2 linked regions of the Anolis sagrei genome follow. The protein of the gene in region 2 purifies or fractionates together with the protein of the main gene of each other region. This does not show direct contact. Links are inferred from orthologs where the notes say so. Each region holds a gene or a part of one and is shown on either strand. Other genes may lie near its edges. The genes, in order: PPP1R12A and NUAK2.

Region 1 (9,085 bases), on a different chromosome or scaffold from region 2:
AAACACCAAAATTCGAAACTAGAACTGCCACCAGTCAACAACTATGTTGGCTCTTCTTCCAATTATACTTTACATCAACTATGTGAAAGCAGTACTTTGGATTTTTTCCATTTAGATAAGATCAAAAGTTATCTCTAAAAACAAAACCATGTTGTTATGGTACAGAAAGAAAAAACTAAAAATAACAATTCCCAACTGAAAGCCACATTTCTGCTTTCTCTTAAAGCACCAATTCACATATTGCAGTTTACTGAATAAAATTATGGCTCTTTTCCCCTAAGAAAATTAAATATTTTACTGTATCCATTTCTGTTGATTGTACTGTCAAACAGAACTCAATTTGATATGCACAAACAGAAAGTGGTCCACTCTTCATATATATATTTGGTCAGCAGTTGCAGCAACCAAATTTAAGTTGTCATTAAAAGAAGTCATTAATATTATTAAGGATTCAAGCACTAGTTGAATGCCATATCCTTACATTAAGTATATTTTAGCTTTATGTATATGAAGGCGTAAACTCAGAATTCAGAGAACAATATCCTGTACAGGTAGGGTGTGAACTGTAACATTCTCTCTTCCTTGTGTCATATCTTATTTAGACTGTAAGCCTGAGGGCAGGGAACTGTCAAATAAATAATTTGTAAGAAACTCTGGAAGCATGTGTGGCTGAAAAGCAGTGTATAAATAATCTGAATAAATAAAGCAGAGGAGCCACCTCACCCAAAGCCCTGCCAGACTCACACCAGCAGGACAGAAATGATGTAGAAGTAGCATTTCCCTCCCACTATCTGAGTTAAATTACACAACTTACTAGGACTGATATGTACCTCCTTCAACTGTGGTGACTGTACAAAAAAAAAAAAAAACTACCATGACCTAATCAACTGCAAGTTTAATTTAGTGTAACCTATTAAATAAATTGCTGGATGCTGGCACTTAAGAAAACCGCACTGGGCCCACAAAGCTGCAGGCACTGATATTATTTTGTTGATATTAAATGGCATGACATTCATTTTACATAACATCCAAAGCTGCAAGCCCCCCCCCCCCCCACTGTGCCATGTAGTTCCTCATTTTCAAATCCTAGATACACAAGAAGTTTAATCAAGCAACTCTAAGATTATTAGTTTCAAAGTTTGAAACAATTCTATGCAGCTTTAAATTACCTTCTTCAGACTGACTATGGTGACTCCAATTTTAGTGCAAAAACATGTATATGACACCAAGATAGTGAAGACTGGTAAACAGAACTACAGAGTCACAGTTCACTTATTACACTTTAAAAACAGTCACACATAGGATATAGTAGCAAATTCATTCTTTACTAACCCTACAGTGTAAGCAATTCTCATTTTTCAAAAATTATAATCTTACATATCCTTGTAGACTTCAACTAAAGTTGATGAGACTTGTTGATAAATAAGGTAAGTCATCCAAGCTTCGGGTTGTCCTTTCCAGTTATCTACATGCTAGCAGAAGAATTGCCAGGATTGTTTATGGTATCAAAGCCAAATATGTTGCTGTTATATTTGTACCCCACTTTTTCCCAGTTGGGACACAAAGCTGCTAACAACTTAAAAAGTAATATAGTTAAACAGACATTACACCAGTGGTACAGAAAAGAGAGCTAACATAGTCAAATCTGACACATTGAAATTCTATTACAGAAATTTGCTGGCTAAAGAGAAATCTTCACCATTACAGCAGCATCTTCTTACTGTCATTATAAGAAATTCTATAAATGTTGGTTCTTCTAGAACCTGTGAATAAATTAACATGTAGCCTAGTAAAATATGGTCTCAGCAAAAAAAAACAACAACCCTTCTCTAGGGTAATGAAACACAGCAGAGGTTTGCCAGTCAGCCTTTAGAGAAATTACTTTTACCACATTTTGCCATTAAAAAGGCAGTTTTAATTATTTTTTGATTTCTTCTTAGTACAATTCATCCTTTAATAAGACATGCTTGATATCTTTAAGCCTATTGTCTAAAGAACAGCATATTTCATTCAGTAGACTAGATTGGTTATACATCTTACACAACAATGAAAACAAAATATACATAACTTGTAAGCCAACTTTGCTATCTTGAACAAACACAAACAGGAATGCTTCCCTCATGCTTGTTTCATCATCTTGAATTTTTAATAAATACTAAAATGAAATCTATGCTTAAGAGATTACTAAAGGACTTAACTATGCAGTCTACTCGGAAGAGAATTTCTACCTGATTCAAAAATACATCCTAATTACTCCACCTTTGTTGAACTACCAGGACATCTGCCGTTCAAAACAAAACTCAAACTGTCAAAGTGATTATACTTGCTTTTCTGATACTCAGTGAGCTTAACATTGTTATTGCTCCTGGCCTATTAGCAGAACCTAGATCCATCCAAGCAAACCCGTATTATCTTCGGATTGCCACATCCCTTCCTTATTTGGCTAACATTCGGAGATTCCAATCAGATGCTTATAAAAGTTTAACGTGCCCAAAACATCCATTTTGAGAAAAGCGTCACAACTATTTTACCTTCCCCGAAACAACAGTTTTCAGAGATTTACCAAAGAAAGCAATGACATCCACACTAAATATTTTACAGCCACTTTTCATCTTTGAAGAAGTCATGTATGCTGGGCGGAAAGACTGGATTTGAGTTCAAGCCCCCAAAACAGAGGAAACTTTTATCAAAAAACTTTTTTAAAAAGTAAAAACCAGAGGCGGTTGGGGAGAAGGGAGTTGGACACAGGAAAGTGAGAGAAATTGCAGGTATTTTCTTGAAAGGACAAGAGGCAGCATGCACACTGCCAAAAGTCACAAAGGGGTTTCAATATTTAATAACTTTTTTGTGTGTTTGTCGCTTACAATGCCACAGCACTGTACGATACAGGAAACACAATGACATTAAATTAGGTGTGAAATCTTTTCCGAAAGTTATTAAAACATCAGGTGACTTTTGGCCCACTGTGTACAGATTTGGGAAACTTTAAAGGCAGGAAGTGGCAACCATTCAGAAGCCTGGAAGTGGGTGGAAAACCATCACTCCCCTATGTGAAGAGGTGGAGACGGTCTCTCTCCTTCCTGGGTGAGGGATGGAGGCCGCTTCAACCTTCCCCCAGATCCCATCCCTTGGAAAATAAGCCTCATTTCTTCCTCCAGTTCCCAAGAGCGCTGAGGAAAAGGGAAAGAAGATCCCGACTGCTTGATAGGGGGGAGGCCTAGCCGCCCACCTCAGCCACCTTTCAGCAGAGTCCAGCCTTCCCTCAGCGAAGGCCACTTCGCCTCAGGGATGGAAGAATGTCCCCTCTCGGCTCCCGTCCGAGGAGAGGTGAGGGAGGCCTCAGGGCCGCCCCAGGCTAGGCCCCGCCAGGCGAGGCCTCGGGCTGACTGACTGACGGGCTGACTGACCTGGTGCAGGGCGGTGAGCCCGTCCACATTGGCGTAGTTGATGTCGGCGCCGCGCTCCAGGAGCCGCAGCACCTCCTCGGTGTCTCCGCTGGAGCAGGCGGCCAAGAAGACGGCGCCGTCGTCGAACTTCACCTTGGTCTTCTTGCGCTTGACCACGGGCGGCTCCTGGTCGGTCTCGGAGCCGATCCAGCGCTTCAGCTGCTCGTTCCGCTTCTGCTTGGCGTCCGCCATCTTCATGCCCTGCCCGCTCGGTACTCGGTCCCCTTCTCCTCTTCCCTTCCTTCCTTCCTTCCCCCACTCTCCCTCTCTCTCTTTCCGCACCCAAGACCAGAAAGAGGCGGAGAAGCCAGAGCACCGCCTGTCTCCCACAAAGCACCGCGGCACCCTCTCAGCCGGCGCCCTCTTGCTTCGCCTCTTCCCACTACAATCCGGCCTCCCCCTCCTCCCTTCCTCGTCTGCGCATGCGCCCCGGTCGGTCTCCTGAGTGGCTCATCCAGTCGCCTCAGGCGGGCGTGGGGGCGTGGCTTTGCCCGGCTTCCTAGACGTAACCTCGCGAGATCTCCCTCATGTATATAAAGTCCCGCGAGTCAAGTTAACTTCTTGACGAGATTGAGGCTGAAAGGAAGGAAGGGAGGGGGCGATGGTGGTGACGCCCCCTCAGTTTAGACTCAGGAGCACGCCTCCAAATAGTCGAAAGAAGCGGGAACTGAGTGCCCCGTCATAGTCTGCCTAAGTCCTTTGTAGTTTGATGGGGCTCGGAGCTGATCTATTATTTTCCCTCAGCTCCGAATAAGGGCGTGTGGAAATGGAGCTTCTCCTCGCGTGCTTCCTGGATTCTCTTAGAATAGGCTGTTTTTGAGGGGGAGCGAAGTCCTCTGAGGAAATCGAGAGGAAAAGCCCATTGGCACAAAAAACAAGCAAATTCTGTGGTAGTTTTAGAGTTTTGCTGTCTTCCTAAGAGTCAGAAGATTCCACCTGAACATGAAGATGAACTTCTCAACCATAAGAGTTCTTCAACATTGGAGAGTAGGCTCCTTCTTTGAAGGCTTTTAAACAGAGGATGGGTGGCCATCTGTTGGGAGTTCTTTGATTGTGTTATACCTGCATGGCAGGAGGTTAGACTAGATGGCTTATGTCTCTTCCAACGCTAGGATTCCATTTGTACGATTTGGATTGTCTCAAGATTTTCATAATACAGCTTAAGCACCACTTTGCCAAAATCTACTCCAAATTCTGAAATTGCCTCTGTATGGCCGAGACACCTTTGTTTTCTAATGGTTCAGTATATGCAAACTAAAAATTCATGCACAAACTTATTTTAAAATGTGTATAAAATTACCTTTAGGCTATGTATGTATATAAGGTATCATAATAATAATAACTTTGGGGTGTTGTGTGGTTTCCGGGCTGTATGGCCATGTTCTAGCAGCATTTTCTCCTGATATTTTGCTGGCATCTTCAGAGACAGGGTTAAACACTGGTCTGTAGCTATTAAGGTTATCCAAGGAGGGCTTTTTCAGCAGTGGTCTAACTACTGCTTCTTTAAAACAGGACTGAAAATTCCTTTCTCAGAGAGATGCATTGATCATTTGTTGTACTTGAGATTGAATTGCATCTCTTCCCTGGACAACCAGGGTGTTTTTTTTCCTTTGTGTCAGGAGCGACTTGAGAAACTGCAAGTTGCTTCTGATGTGATATAATTGGCCATCTGAAAGGACCTTGCCCAGGGGACTCGGATTTGCTACCATCCTGTAGGATGCTTCTTTCATGTCCCCACATGATAGACGGGGGTTCACCCTGCTCCGTGGATTCAAACTGCCGACCTGTCAGTCAGCAGTCCTGCTGGCACAAGGGTTTAACCCATTGTGCCACCAGGGGCTCTGGACAACCAGCTAAGAAAGGCAGGGATCAAGAAAGCAGGTTGTCATCCTTACTTGCCTCCGCAGCTTGTCCACATCAGCAGTATTCACCAATTGAAACTGATCCAGTGTAATCCCATTCAGAGTTGTGGACACCTTGTCACTAGCTTCTGCTCCAATGATGCATCTAAGTGAGCCCTCTGCATCACTGGAGTTGGTATGTGTGAAAATGGGGAAACCGTAAATAGCTTTTTTCTAAAGAACCATTTCTCTAAGAATTTCTAGCTTCTCCAGAGCAAACTGTATGGTGAACTTCCAGCAGAAATTAACTACAGTCATGCTAGACAACCTAGATTGCTAGAGGACACTTGTTGATGTGATGGGCAGATTATATGAAACATACATGAATTTTGTCTTCAGATTTTAGTCTCAAACTACTAGAGAGAGAGAGATGCAAGTATACTAAAATCTGAAATACAGAACACTTCTGGGCCTAGGCATGAGAAATTATGTTCTTGAATATCTTTTTATAGTTGGTCCTTGGTATCCACTCGGAGTTGGTTCCAGGACTCCCTGTGGACACCAAAATCAACGGATAGTCAAGTCTCATTATATACAATGGAATAGAAAAATGGTATCCCTTATGTAAAATGATAAGGCCAGGGTTTTCTTTTGGGGTCTTTAAAATATCTTCCAATTGTTGATGGTTGAATCTGTGGATCAAGAGGGCTTACCATATATGTAAATTTTTTAAAAGGCAAAAAGAGACATTAGAATAATGATTTAGTGACATCTTGATATTTTGATAAAAAAGAAGTAATGGCTGTGCCCTGTTTCTAAGTGTAAAAACCGGCTATAATTGTCTCCCATATTGAAAGAAAACAGAATGCAGTACTGTGAAAAAACATTTGACATTGTTTAAATGAGCAAAACTAGATATTAATGTAAGGTGATGATTTATTGTGCTCATCAAACCTTTTAAAATAAGCTGACTCATACTGGTATGCTTGTCTTTCCCAGTGTCTAAGCCATTTTATGCTTTAAATATCAAAATCAGTTTAAAATTGCTTGTATTACTAAAGCCAACATAAAAAATAGTCCAATGTCACATATGTGTGAGATCTTGAGGAGCCTCAACTAACACACAATAAAACAGACTGTGGGCAAGGATTGCCTATGTACTATGAGTGTACACATCTGTACTAAAGGACCATTGCTATTTCTGGGTATAATTCAAGGGAATGATTTTGAACTTTACAGCAATGAAAGTTTGGTGGAAATGACCTGGAGGACTGCTGAATAGCTGAGGTAGGCATGAGAGGGTCTTTTCTGAGTACCTTCATCTTCAAAACTTACCATGGCAGTGACTGAATAAAATGACTTCCTTCTTAACATTTCCCTGGACTCCTCGATATTAAATAACTACTGGCCCATATCTAACCTCCCCTTGTTGGGCAATGTTCTAGAGCAGCTGGTGGCTTTTCAGCTCCAGGCATTCTTGGATGAAACCGATTATCTTGATTTGTCACTGTCTGGTTTTAGGCCTGGTCACATAACGGAGATGACTTAGGTCACTTTGATTGAGGACCTCTGCAGAAAGCTTGATGGGGAAATGTGTCCTTTTTGGTTCTCTTGGACATCTCAGTAGATTTCAATGTCATCAACCATGGTATACTTCTGGGGCGGCTCTCCGGAATGGGTCTTGGGGGCATTGCACTGCAGTGAATAATAATAATAATAATAATAATAATAATAATAATAATTTATTTGATCAGTCATATGACCATTTCAAAGTAAAACACGAGTAAAAAACAAACAAACAAGGCAACAAGGAGATAAGTCAGACTCTTATTTTCCTGGTTCTTCTTTCAGGAAATCTGCTCTTTTCTTAATGGCTTTCAGAATAAAAAGGCTTACTCTGATTATGTTGGATCTTTCCTGCCCTTGCAAGAGGGATGTCAGAATATCATTTCTGTTGTGGGACCTGCAGTTGGATAATATTAGATGTAAATATCTGTCTCGCAGATCGGTGTATGCTGGACAGTCAATTAAGAAATGTTCAATGTCTTCCACTGTTTGTTCTCCCCAGACGCAGAATCTCTCACTTCTTGGGATGTTACAGTAACGCCCGGTTTGCACCATAGTACCGAGTTGTTCAAACCTAGCCCTAGTATATGTTCTTCTTAAGGGTAGAGGAAGTGGAATAGTTAGGTAGTGCTCTAAATGAATATTCCTTTTGTGGGAAGCTAAAAACCTTGTGGCTGAAGACCTACCTATGCTCTCTAGGTCCAGCTGTGCATAGACATCCCTAATGCGCCGCTTGAGCACTTGCCCTGCCCCCAGACCCAGAACACCCAGAAATTGCAAAGGCAGACCGAATCCAGCCAGCTCATTATTTAGAGCCGCCATCCACGATGACTTCTGGTCATGCTGGACTTGATCCTCTAGACATAGGCGAGGAAGTCTACTGGGATCCATAGAGTTTACTTTTGACCAGTAATTAGACTGTCTCATTAGAATTTGAGCTTTTACTGGGAGTATTCCTAGCTCAGCCCTTACTGCCGCCATCAGCGTTGTTCTGGAAAGGCCCAGGAAGATGCGAAGCTGCTTCACTTGGAAGGCTTCAATCTTAGCCAGATTGATGTGCCCCCAAATTTCAGCCCCAAATATAAGTGCTGGCATTATTTTTGTTTTAAAGACTTCCAGGGCAGGTCTGATTGTGCCTGGGTATCTATGATGGTACAGCTTATAAATGGAACCTGCTGCTTTCGTTGCTCTTTGTATACTATGAGCAATGTGGTTAGCCCAAGCACCAGACGAAGAGAACATAATGCCTAGATATTTGTAGCAATTAATTTGTTCCAAATGTATGCCTTTCAGGGACCACGTGTACCGTTTCCTGTTTTTTCCAAAGACTATAATTTTGGATTTATCCTTGTTCATAGTGAGTGAATTTAGCTCACAGTACACATTGAATTTTGCCAGGGATCTTCTTAGTCCCACTGGAGATGTTGCCATAATCACCATGTCATCAGCGTAAAGCAGGATGTTAATAGTTCTGGACAAAACTTTAGGACCATGTAGACTGTCAGAGGATAATGTGTTTACGATGTCATTTATATAGAAGTTAAAGAGAAAAGGGGCTAAAATGCACCCTTGTGTCACCCCAGTTGATGTCTTGATTTCATTGCTCAGGGCTCCACTGGGTCCAAGTCTAACTTTCAATACGGTGTCAGAGTACACTGCAGTGGTTCCATTCCTTCCTGGAGGATCACACCCAGTTGATGAAGCTGAGGGAGACCTGCTTGGACCCCTGGCCTTTGACCTTTTGAGTCCCACAAGATTTCATTCTGTTCCCCATGCTTTTTAATATCTGCATTAATCTGCTGGGAGAAGTCATCTGGAGTTTTGGAGTTCAGTGCCATCTGTACACATCTGACACACAGTTCTATTACTTCTTTCCACCAAAATCCAAGGAAGCCCCCCAGATCCTGGACCAGTGCCTGGCAGCTGTGATGGACTGGAAGAGGGCTAACAAGCTGAAACTTAATCCAGACAAGACTGGTCCTTCTGGTCAGTCGTGAGGCCAGTTGGGGTATAGGGTGGAAACCTGTGTTCGACGGGGTTACTCTCAGCCTGAGGACACAGGTCCAAGGTCTGGGGGTCCTCCTGGACTTAGCCTTGATTGGACTTACCTGCTCGAAGCTCAGGTGTTGGCAGTGGCTGGGAGGGCTTTCACACAGTTAAAACGTGTATGCCAGCTGCAACTGCACCTCAAGAAGCCAGACTTCGCCATGGTAGTCCATGCCTTGTTAGATT
Region 2 (9,455 bases):
CTTCATAACTGTAATTTTGCTACTGTTATGAAATGGAATGTAAATATCTGATATGCAGGATTTATTTTAATTCACTGGACCAAATTTGGCACAAATACCCGATATACCCAAATTTGAGTGCTGATGGGGTTGGGGGGAGGAGGAATTGATTTTGTCCTTTGGGAATTGTAGTTGCTGGCATTTATAGTTCACTTGCAATCAAAGAGCATTCTAAACTCCATCAACGATGGAATTGAATCAAACTTGGCACACAAAAGTACCATAAAAATACTGGAAGGGTTTGGTGGGAATTGACCTTGACTTTTGGAGTTGTAGTTCAACTACATCCAGAGAACACTGTGGACCAAACTTGGCCCAAATGTGAACACTGGTGGAGTTTGGGGAAAATAGACCTTGACATTTGGGAGTTGTAGTTGCTGGGATTTATAGTTCACTTACGATCAGTGATCACTGTGAACCCCACCAATGATAGAATTGGGCCAAACTTCCCACACAGAACCCCCATGACCAACAGAAAATACTGTGTTTTCTGATGATCTGGCAACCCCTCTGACACCCCTTCATGACCCCCCCTCCCCTCCCCGCAGGTTGAGAAACACTGCCCTAAAAGGGGGGGGGGGGAACCAAATGCATGCCAGTGAATTTGCCACCATCAGCAAAGGGAGAAAGTCAGCCTGGCAAGAAAGCTGAGAAGTTTTACCAGTCTGGCTCTGAGTTAATTATCTTTAATCCCCACCACTCTTCCTCCTCAGCCAGAATGATTCACAGCAAGCCGGGTGAAGTTTGGCAAGGCCACCTCAACCTGCGCGGGCCTGTCCCCATCCCAGCCAGGTCTGAGCATTCACTTTGCTTTAGATCACATCACTTTTCAGCCTCTCTGCAGTTTGCATCACCACACTCACTTGTGTGAGTGTGAAGCAGCCTTGTTTCCAAGTTTTGGCAGATACAGAAGAAATAAATGCATCCAGAGCCAAGGCTCCCTGCAGTGCAGAGACCTGAACTAGCCTTTATTATCTTTTCAGCACTATCTCTCATTAGAAATAACGCCTTTTCCTCCCCAATGTTACCAGATAACATGCACACAAGGCCCACTTTCCCCAGGAAAACAGTGAGGTTGATGTCTGAAGAACCTATAATATTGAACCCAGGACCAGAGGGTGTCTCTACACCAGGCATGGGCAAACAGCTTAAGCGGCTGAGGGGGGAAAGGGAAGGGCCTGAGGCTGTTAGGAATGGTGGGAGTTGAAGTCCAAAACACCTGGAGGGCCCAAGTTTGCACATGTCTGCTCTACACTGTTGAACTAATGCCATTGCGCCTCACTTAACTGCCACAGCTCAATGGTATAAAATCATGGGAGTTGTAGTTTAAGAATATATTTAGCCAGAGTTCTAGTACCTTACCAAACTACAACCCTAAAGCAGTGACCAACTGCATTCATTCCACAGTAGAGATGCAACCAGTGCTGGATGCTTTGGCAGCTCTGGCCAGCAGATTAGCCTCTTGCACCACTTTTTTTGATTCCCTCCCTGCGGAGAGGTGGAACAATTACTCTGCAGTATCATTAAATATGATTAACATGTATTTAGGCAAGTCATTTCTTCAGTCAGCCATGCCTTTGCTTTCCCACCTACGCCTGAAAACCTTCCCTGCAAGGATGGTGAATGGGATCCTCCCTCCTACAGACCCCCATAATGCACGATTCTCACTGCTTCCATGGTGGGGTTTTCTTGGCAAGATCTCTTCAGTAGACCTTTGCCTTCCTCTTTGCATTTGCAGAATCAGTGCAGTTGGATGCCATTTGAACTGCCATGGCTCAAAGCCATGGAAACCTGGGAGTTGTAGTGAGGCACCAGCACTCATAGAATCATAGAGTTGGAAAAGATCTCATGGGCCATCCAGTCCAACCCCCCGCCAAGAAGCAGGAACATCGCATTCAAACCACCCCCAACAGATGTAGAACTACAATGCCCATGATCCCTTGACATTGAGCCATAAGAGTTGGGATTGGATTCCAACAGCATTAATTTTATAGTATTGAGCATGACAGAGAGTGACTCAGGGGGTTTCCATGGCTGAGCAGGGTCCCAACACTCTTAGCCCTTACACCATGCAAGCTCTTGTTACTCAGGGGCAAATCCAAGACATCCACTACAGGTATCTTTCCCGACACCATCTTATGAGCCCTCATAAAGGTCCCCACTTGAACTGCCAGGTCTTGGGCCTGTGGAATTTGGGGTGAGAGATGTGTGTGTGTGTGTGTAAATATCCTATAAAATGTATTATATACATATACACCTTGTAATAATAATTATATATAGAGAGAGATGTAATAATAATACACACCTAGTAATAGTAATGTGTATATAAATGTATTATATAGAGGGAGGAGGAAGACCTAATTATTGTTCTATTATCTTGGGCCTATGGAATTTGGGGTGAAACACACATACACACATTAATGTGTGTGTATAAATATCCTATAATATACACCTTGTAATAATAATCTTATATATATATATATATATATATATATATAATTTTATATAAAGTCCTAATAATAATAATACATACCTAATACCAGCAATGCAATAAAAACCACACACACACACACACATGGTACTCTTCTATTATTTTGGGGCTATGGAATTTGGGGTGATATATAGATATAGTGTGTGTGTGTGTGTGTGTGTGTGTGTATAAATATGCTATAAAATGTATTATATGCATCCTGCAATAATCATCTTATATATACATATAATTTTATATAAAGTCCAAATAATAATAACAATACACACCTAATAATAGTAATGCAATAAAGACCTAATAGCTATCTATCTATCTATATATAGTACTGTTCTATTATTTTGGGGCTATGGAATTTGGGGTGAGATAGTGTGTGTGTATAAAAAGTATTATATGTATATACACCTTGTAATAATAATGTTATATTCCTAATAATAATAACACACATCTAATAATAAAGACCTAATTATAGATAGATAGATAGATAGATAGATAGATAGATAGATAGAACTGTTCTATTATATATGGTACTGTTCTATTATCTGGTGGAGGAACATCTGGTGGATATGCTTAATAATAACAATAAATAGTATGTTATATTACATATATAATTTTTTTATTCTTCTTCTGACTACCAGGTCTTTAGCCTTCTCTGCCAAAGCGTGCTGGTGCCTCTCCAAACTCCCACCTCGCCTGGATTCCTCAGCACTGGGCCATGGCAGCCAAAGCGGTGCCAAACTGCATCCATCCGACAGTGCAGGACAGAGGCACCCTGAGCCTGCCTCTCTCTCTCTCTCTCGGGCTGCAATCCGGGTGCGGAGAGGATGCGCGCTCCAAGACTGCCCAGAGGCTGCTGGTGCCGCATGGAGGGGGGATTTCTTTCCTTGTGGGCGGAGATGCAGAGGGCTGCGAGATTCCCTGTGGGACGTCTCTGGTTAGGAGAGGGGAGCGGGACAGAACTCTCCTAAACAAGACACCGGAGTGGCGGGGTCCTACCCTAGCCCGCCCTCCCTCCTTCCCGCCTTCCTTACCAGTTTCCCGGAGCGCTCCCTGGCCTTCTTCACCTTCCCGTAGGTGCCTTTGCCCAGCGTCTCGAGGAACTCGTAGTGGCGCCGGAGGTTGTGCTTGTGGTAGTGCCGCTTCACGGCTTGCCTCTTGGCCGCGGGGCCCTTGGCGGGCGGAGGGAGGGCGGCGGCAGGAGAGGCGTCCATCGCCCGCTGGCAGGCAGGGAGGCAGGGCAGGCTCTGCGGGGACAGCGCGCGAGGCAAGGCAAGGCATGAGCCGGCTGGGGATCCTCTGCCCATAAATGCGAGGAACCTGCCCGCCGCGGGCCCGCCCTCTCTGCAGCCATTGGCTGCGGCGGCCCACGTGACCCCCCTCCTCCTTTGCAAGGTGGGAGAAGCCGAGGGAGGGGCGGGGAAACCCTCTCTTTGTGGGCATTCCCATTCATTTGTTTTAGGATCCCAGCCTGAGTGAGGGATTTGCACCTTCCATCTGACCGTGGATGAAATGGTGCAGCCAATGGCACCCTCTATCACTCCCTTTTTTTGAGCATCTAGGGACCTCTTCACACTAGACACTCCCAACCTTCCTAATACCACAACCACTTAATACAGTTCCTCATGTTGTGGTGACCCTCAAGCATAACATTATTTCTCTTGCTACTTCTACTGAATTGCAATGTAAATGTCTGATATGCAGGATGTATTTTTCATTCACTGGACCAAATTTGGCACAAATACCCAATACGCCCACATTGAATACTGCTGGGGTTGAGGGTGGATTGATTTTGTCATTTGGGAATTGTAGTTGCTGAGATTTATAGTTTACCTACAATCAAAGAGTATTCTGAATTCCAAAAACAATGGAATTGAACCAAACTTCGCATAAATACTCAATATGGCCGAATGTGAACACTGGTGGAGTTTGGGGGGAAATAGACCTTGACATTGGGAGTTGGAGTTGCTGGGATTTATAGTTCACCTACAATCAAAGTACATTCTGAACTTCACCAACGATGGAATTGAACCAAACAGGGCAAAGAACTCGTACGTCCAACAGAAAATACTGGAAGGGTTTGACCAATCTTGGCACACAAAACTTCCATGACCAACAAAAAACACTGGAAGGGTTTGGTGGGCATTGACTTTGAGTTCTGGAGTTGTAGTTCACCTACATCCAGAGGGCACTGTGGACTCAAACGATGATCAATTTGGACCAAATTTGGCACAGATACTCAATATGGCCAAATGTGAACACTGGTGGAGTTAGGGGAAAATAGACCTTGGCATTTGGTAGTTGTATTTGCTGGGATTTATAGTTAACCTACAATCAAAGAGCATTCTGAACTCCACCAATGATGGAATTGAACCAATCTTGGCACACAGAACTCCCCTGGCCAACCGAAAATACTGGAAGGGTTTGGCGGGCATTGACCTTGAGTTCTGGAGTTGTAGTTCACCTACATCCAGAGAGCACCATGGACTCAAACAGTGATGGATCTGGACCAAACTTGGTATGAATAGTTAATATGGTCAAATGTTAATGCTGGTGGAGTTTGGGAAAAATAGACCAAGACATTTGGGAGCTGTAGTCACTGGGATTTATAGTTCACCTGCAATCAGAGCATTCTGAACCCTACCAATAATAGAATTGGGCCAATCTTCCTACACAGAACCCACATGACCAACAGAAATGCTGTGTTTTCCAATTGTCTTTGGTGACCCCTCTGACAGCTTCACACGACCCCCCCCCCCCACCGCCAAGGGTCCCAACCCTCAGGTTGAGAAACACTGCACTACAGAATGAATCCATTTAAAATCTGGTTGCTGCCTCCTGCAGAATTCTGGAGTTTGTAGTTTAGGGAATAGCCTTTAGGGAGTAGCCTTTAACTGCCTCCCTAAACTACAAACCCCAGAATTCTGCAGGAGGCAGATTTAAAGTGTATTCATTTCCTAGTGTGATGAGGTCCTAGGAGTTCATCTATATACACTGGATTTAATGCCGTTTGACAGCACTTTTAGCTGCCATGGCGCACTGCTATAGAATCACAGGATTTGTATTTTTACAAGATCTACTTTGCAAGGTGTTGTATGTCATACTAGGACCCTGAAAGCAGAGATATGTCTACACCAGGCATGTGTAGGATTAGACAGGAAGTAGGTGACAGCCCAACAGGAGATTACTTTCCCATTTCTAGCAGTCAGTGTCTGCATAATCCATGCTGCTTGCTTGGAATATATAGAGAATGTTGCTCTGGACCAGGCATGGGCCAACTTCGGCCCTCCCGGTGTTTTGGACTTCAACTCCCACCATTCCTAACTGCCTCAGGCCCCTTCCTTTTCCCCCCTTAAGTGGCTGAGGGGGAAAAGAAAAGGGCCTGAGGCTGTTAGGAATGGTGGGGGATGAACTCCAAAACACCTGAGGGCCCAAGTTGGCCCATGCCTGGTGTAGATACACTCCATGCTGCCCTTGTCTTTGTGATGGCAGATGGGTTTCGCATTCTTTCCATAAGCTTTTGTTCTTCCTAATAGGCAGGGCTTTGTTTCTAATTTTGACTCATCTCACTATCTAATCAAGCTATCATGCCATTGTTGTTTCTTTTAAAAGGTAAGATCCCACTTGTTTTTTCTATTTTGTTCTAGTATTTACCCTGCAGAAATCCACATGCCACTCATTCCTCAGGGTTGGGATGCTACACACAATTTATTGCCCTTAATGTAAGAGGACTCAGTGGGAAATTTGATGGTAATCATTGTGAGTGATTCTTGAGATATTAGTAAGACTAATATCTCTTGCAAGAATTTTTATTTAATGATTTATTTACTTTATTTTTATCCCGCCTTTCTTTTGATACAGGGACTCAAGGCACCACTAATCAATATGACACAATGCAAATTAAAACAGCGTAGATACAAATTATGAGTACAAAAAACCCTTCTATGTGTCAATAAACCATTAAATATTTTTTAAAAATTTAAAAAACTTTTTTTTCATGTCAGAAGCTACTTGTGAAACTGCAAGTTGCTTCTAGTGTGAGAAAATTGGTCGTCTGCAAGGACGTTGTCCAGGGGACACCCGGATGTTTTGATGTTTTATTATCCTTGTGGGAGGCTTCTCTCATGTCCCCACATGGGGAGCTGGAGCTGACAGAGGGAGCTCATCCATACTCTCACTGGATTCGAACTTATGACCCGTCACTCTTCAGTCATTAAAGTACTATACAGCAACAACAAAATCCAGATCCCACCATCAATACACAATTCACATGGATTTGAAATAAAATTTCTCATATCTGAAAGGTTTATGCCAGATAAAACGGATATCACATTTTTCCTTGAATTCATGAAAAGCAGATTAATGAATGAACTCACATGATAATTTGTATAACTTCTTTGTTCAACTGATTTCTTTGGAAATACTGTCTCAATAAGGATTCTGAGCATCTTTAAGTAACTATGTTGATTTCTGCAAGACACAGTTTCACAGCCTGAGATTTCTCTTGCATTCATAGCTGAGCCTGGAACCCCAGGTCTTGGGGGTGGCCAGGGCAGCATTTGAACAATTAAAACTTGTGCACCAGCTGCGCCCATATCTTGAGAAGCCAGACTTGGCCATGGTGGTCCATGCTCTTGTCACATCCCAACTAGACTACTGCAATGCGCTCTATGTGAGGTTCCCCTTGAAGACTGTTTGGAAGCTTCAAGTGGTTCTATGGGCCACAGCCAGATTCCTCACTAGAGCAGCATACGGAGAGTACACAACCCCCCTGTTATGTCAGCTCCACTGGCTGCTAGTCTGCTACAGAGCACAATTCAAAGTGCTGGCTTTATCCAATAAACCCCTAACGCTTCCGGCCCAGTTTTCCTGTCCAAACATCTCTCTCTCTATGAACCATAATGGAGATTAAAATCTTCTGGGGAGGCCCTGTTCTCGGTACCGCCTTCTTCACAAGTGCGACTGGTAGGGACGAGAGACAGGGCATTCTCAGTGGTGGCCCCTCGGCTGTGGAACTCCCTCCCCAGTGATATTAGATCAGCCCCCTCCCCCCTGGCCTTCAGAAAGAAAATGAAGATGTGGCTTTGGGGCCAAGCCTTCAGATAATAATTGTAATGCAATAAATTGATACAGAATATGTGCAATGACTACTGGAGTCGCTCCGGATTATGATAGTGGATTGCATGGTTTTAATAGCTGGTGTAATGTTTAGATGTTTTAATTTTTGGTTGTAATGTAAATGTTTATTTTAATTGTATGTTGTTTTTATGGCATTGAATTGTTGCCTATGTATAAAGCCACTCTGAGTTCTCATCAGGGTGAAAAGGGCGGGATATAAATATGGTAAATAAAATAATAAAATAAGATTTCTTCTAAGTAAACAGATTTAGGCTCATGCTATATGCTTATTCACCTATTCATTTTCCCCAATGAATGCAGTTATTTCTCCTCACCTGGCACTTTCCACAGGTATTGGACTACAACTCCAATTATATAAAAATAATGAGAGTTGCTATATAACACATTTGTACTTATCTGGTCCAGACATATGTGGACAGTACTTACATCTTTAAAAAAAGATTATTAGTCTGCTTTTAATCACAACCAAATGTTATACACTAAGGAATCATATGAAAGCTATTATGTGAAGCTCTTTGTTTCTACAAAGACCTGTCCTAAAGCAACCTTTTATTAGTTGAACATTTCCTATGTATGCTTATTCAAAAACATTCCCAGTGAGTTCAATGAGCATGTGATGTCAATATTAATATTTGAAGTGTCCTGTGATCATGGGATATTTTATTGTGGCTGAATAAACTCTTGCTGGGTTAAAAGCCTATATGTGTATTTAATATTAAAAGTATGCTCGGTGACTAAATTAAACTATTCTATACATCTTCTCTTTCTTTTGAGATAGTCCTTCTGGGATAGAGAAGGATAAAACTACAAAGCTTTCTCAGTTTGTATGTGTGTGTGTTGTAGAGTTGCCTTCCTGTCTTATTTGTATTAACCATTTTGTGATAATGGAAGTCTTGGGAATTGCATATATTTCTTTGAAAATCTAAAGACTAAAAAAGAAAAACTCTGCAGAGTGCAATTTTCCCCTTCCTCCCAAGTTTCTATGAGCAACTTAAGAATAGATGGAAGGACGGCCAGTTGCCACATTGTGGTTTCAGTTCTTAAAGAGGAAAGTTCCAAGAGCAGTCAAAACAAAAGCTTCAGCGTGACTTTGGCATGTGAGATCATCGCAGTGATTGAAGAAAAAGATAACTCCAGGGTTACTCATCCAGACCTGGATTTTCCCAGAACTTCAAAGGGCTCTGGCAGGAGCAAAACATACCACAAGAACACGCTAATACAATCAGTGCAGAGCAAATTTGTCTGGACATAAGGTTTCAACTGAAAGTAAATCCAGTTAATTCCGTGCCTGATAGGGTTTGAATAAGGTCAATGGGAGCATCCTATATCACCCATCAGTCTTGTATTTTTAATTTAGTTCAGCATGGATTTGGTCTGACAGTGATATTTATATAATAGACCAGGCATGGGCAAACTTTGGCCTTCCAGGTGTTTTGGACTTCAACTCCTACAGCCTGTTAGGAATTGTGCGAGTTGAAGTCCAAAATACGTGGAGCGCTGGAGTTTGCCTATGCCTGTAATAGACCATTTAATACCTGGAGATAATAAATGTCATCACCATCAATTGAATAAAATTATACGGTGTTGGTATTGAAGTAAAGCTCATTGCAGAAAACAATACATAGAATGCAGTGAGAATGGTCAATGATTGCTTATCTAGATATAGATTAGTTATCTAGATATCATCATTAAGGTTAAAGGTAAAAGTTCCCCCCTGACATTAAGTCCAGTTGTGTCCAACTCTGGGGGTTGGTGCTCATCTCCATTTATAAACCGAAGAGCTGCCATTGTCCAT

What was found.
Region 1: the proteins of NUAK2 (region 2) and PPP1R12A purify together in Homo sapiens (affinity purification with mass spectrometry; 3 studies listed by BioGRID and IntAct, counting the BioPlex papers as one, with this or other methods). This does not show direct contact. The link is inferred for Anolis sagrei from reciprocal best matches to the Homo sapiens genes NUAK2 and PPP1R12A.

The regions. Positions count from the first base shown.
Region 1 is NC_090025.1:148,567,848-148,576,932, forward strand, and holds the start of PPP1R12A (protein phosphatase 1 regulatory subunit 12A), read right to left. Parts: upstream 3,857-9,085; 5' UTR 3,645-3,856; coding exon 3,408-3,644; intron 1-3,407. UniProt on the Homo sapiens protein: Key regulator of protein phosphatase 1C (PPP1C). Mediates binding to myosin. As part of the PPP1C complex, involved in dephosphorylation of PLK1. Capable of inhibiting HIF1AN-dependent suppression of HIF1A activity.
Region 2 is NC_090024.1:194,150,076-194,159,530, forward strand, and holds the start of NUAK2 (NUAK family SNF1-like kinase 2), read right to left. Parts: upstream 3,818-9,455; 5' UTR 3,736-3,817; coding exon 3,556-3,735; intron 1-3,555. UniProt on the Homo sapiens protein: Stress-activated kinase involved in tolerance to glucose starvation. Induces cell-cell detachment by increasing F-actin conversion to G-actin. Expression is induced by CD95 or TNF-alpha, via NF-kappa-B.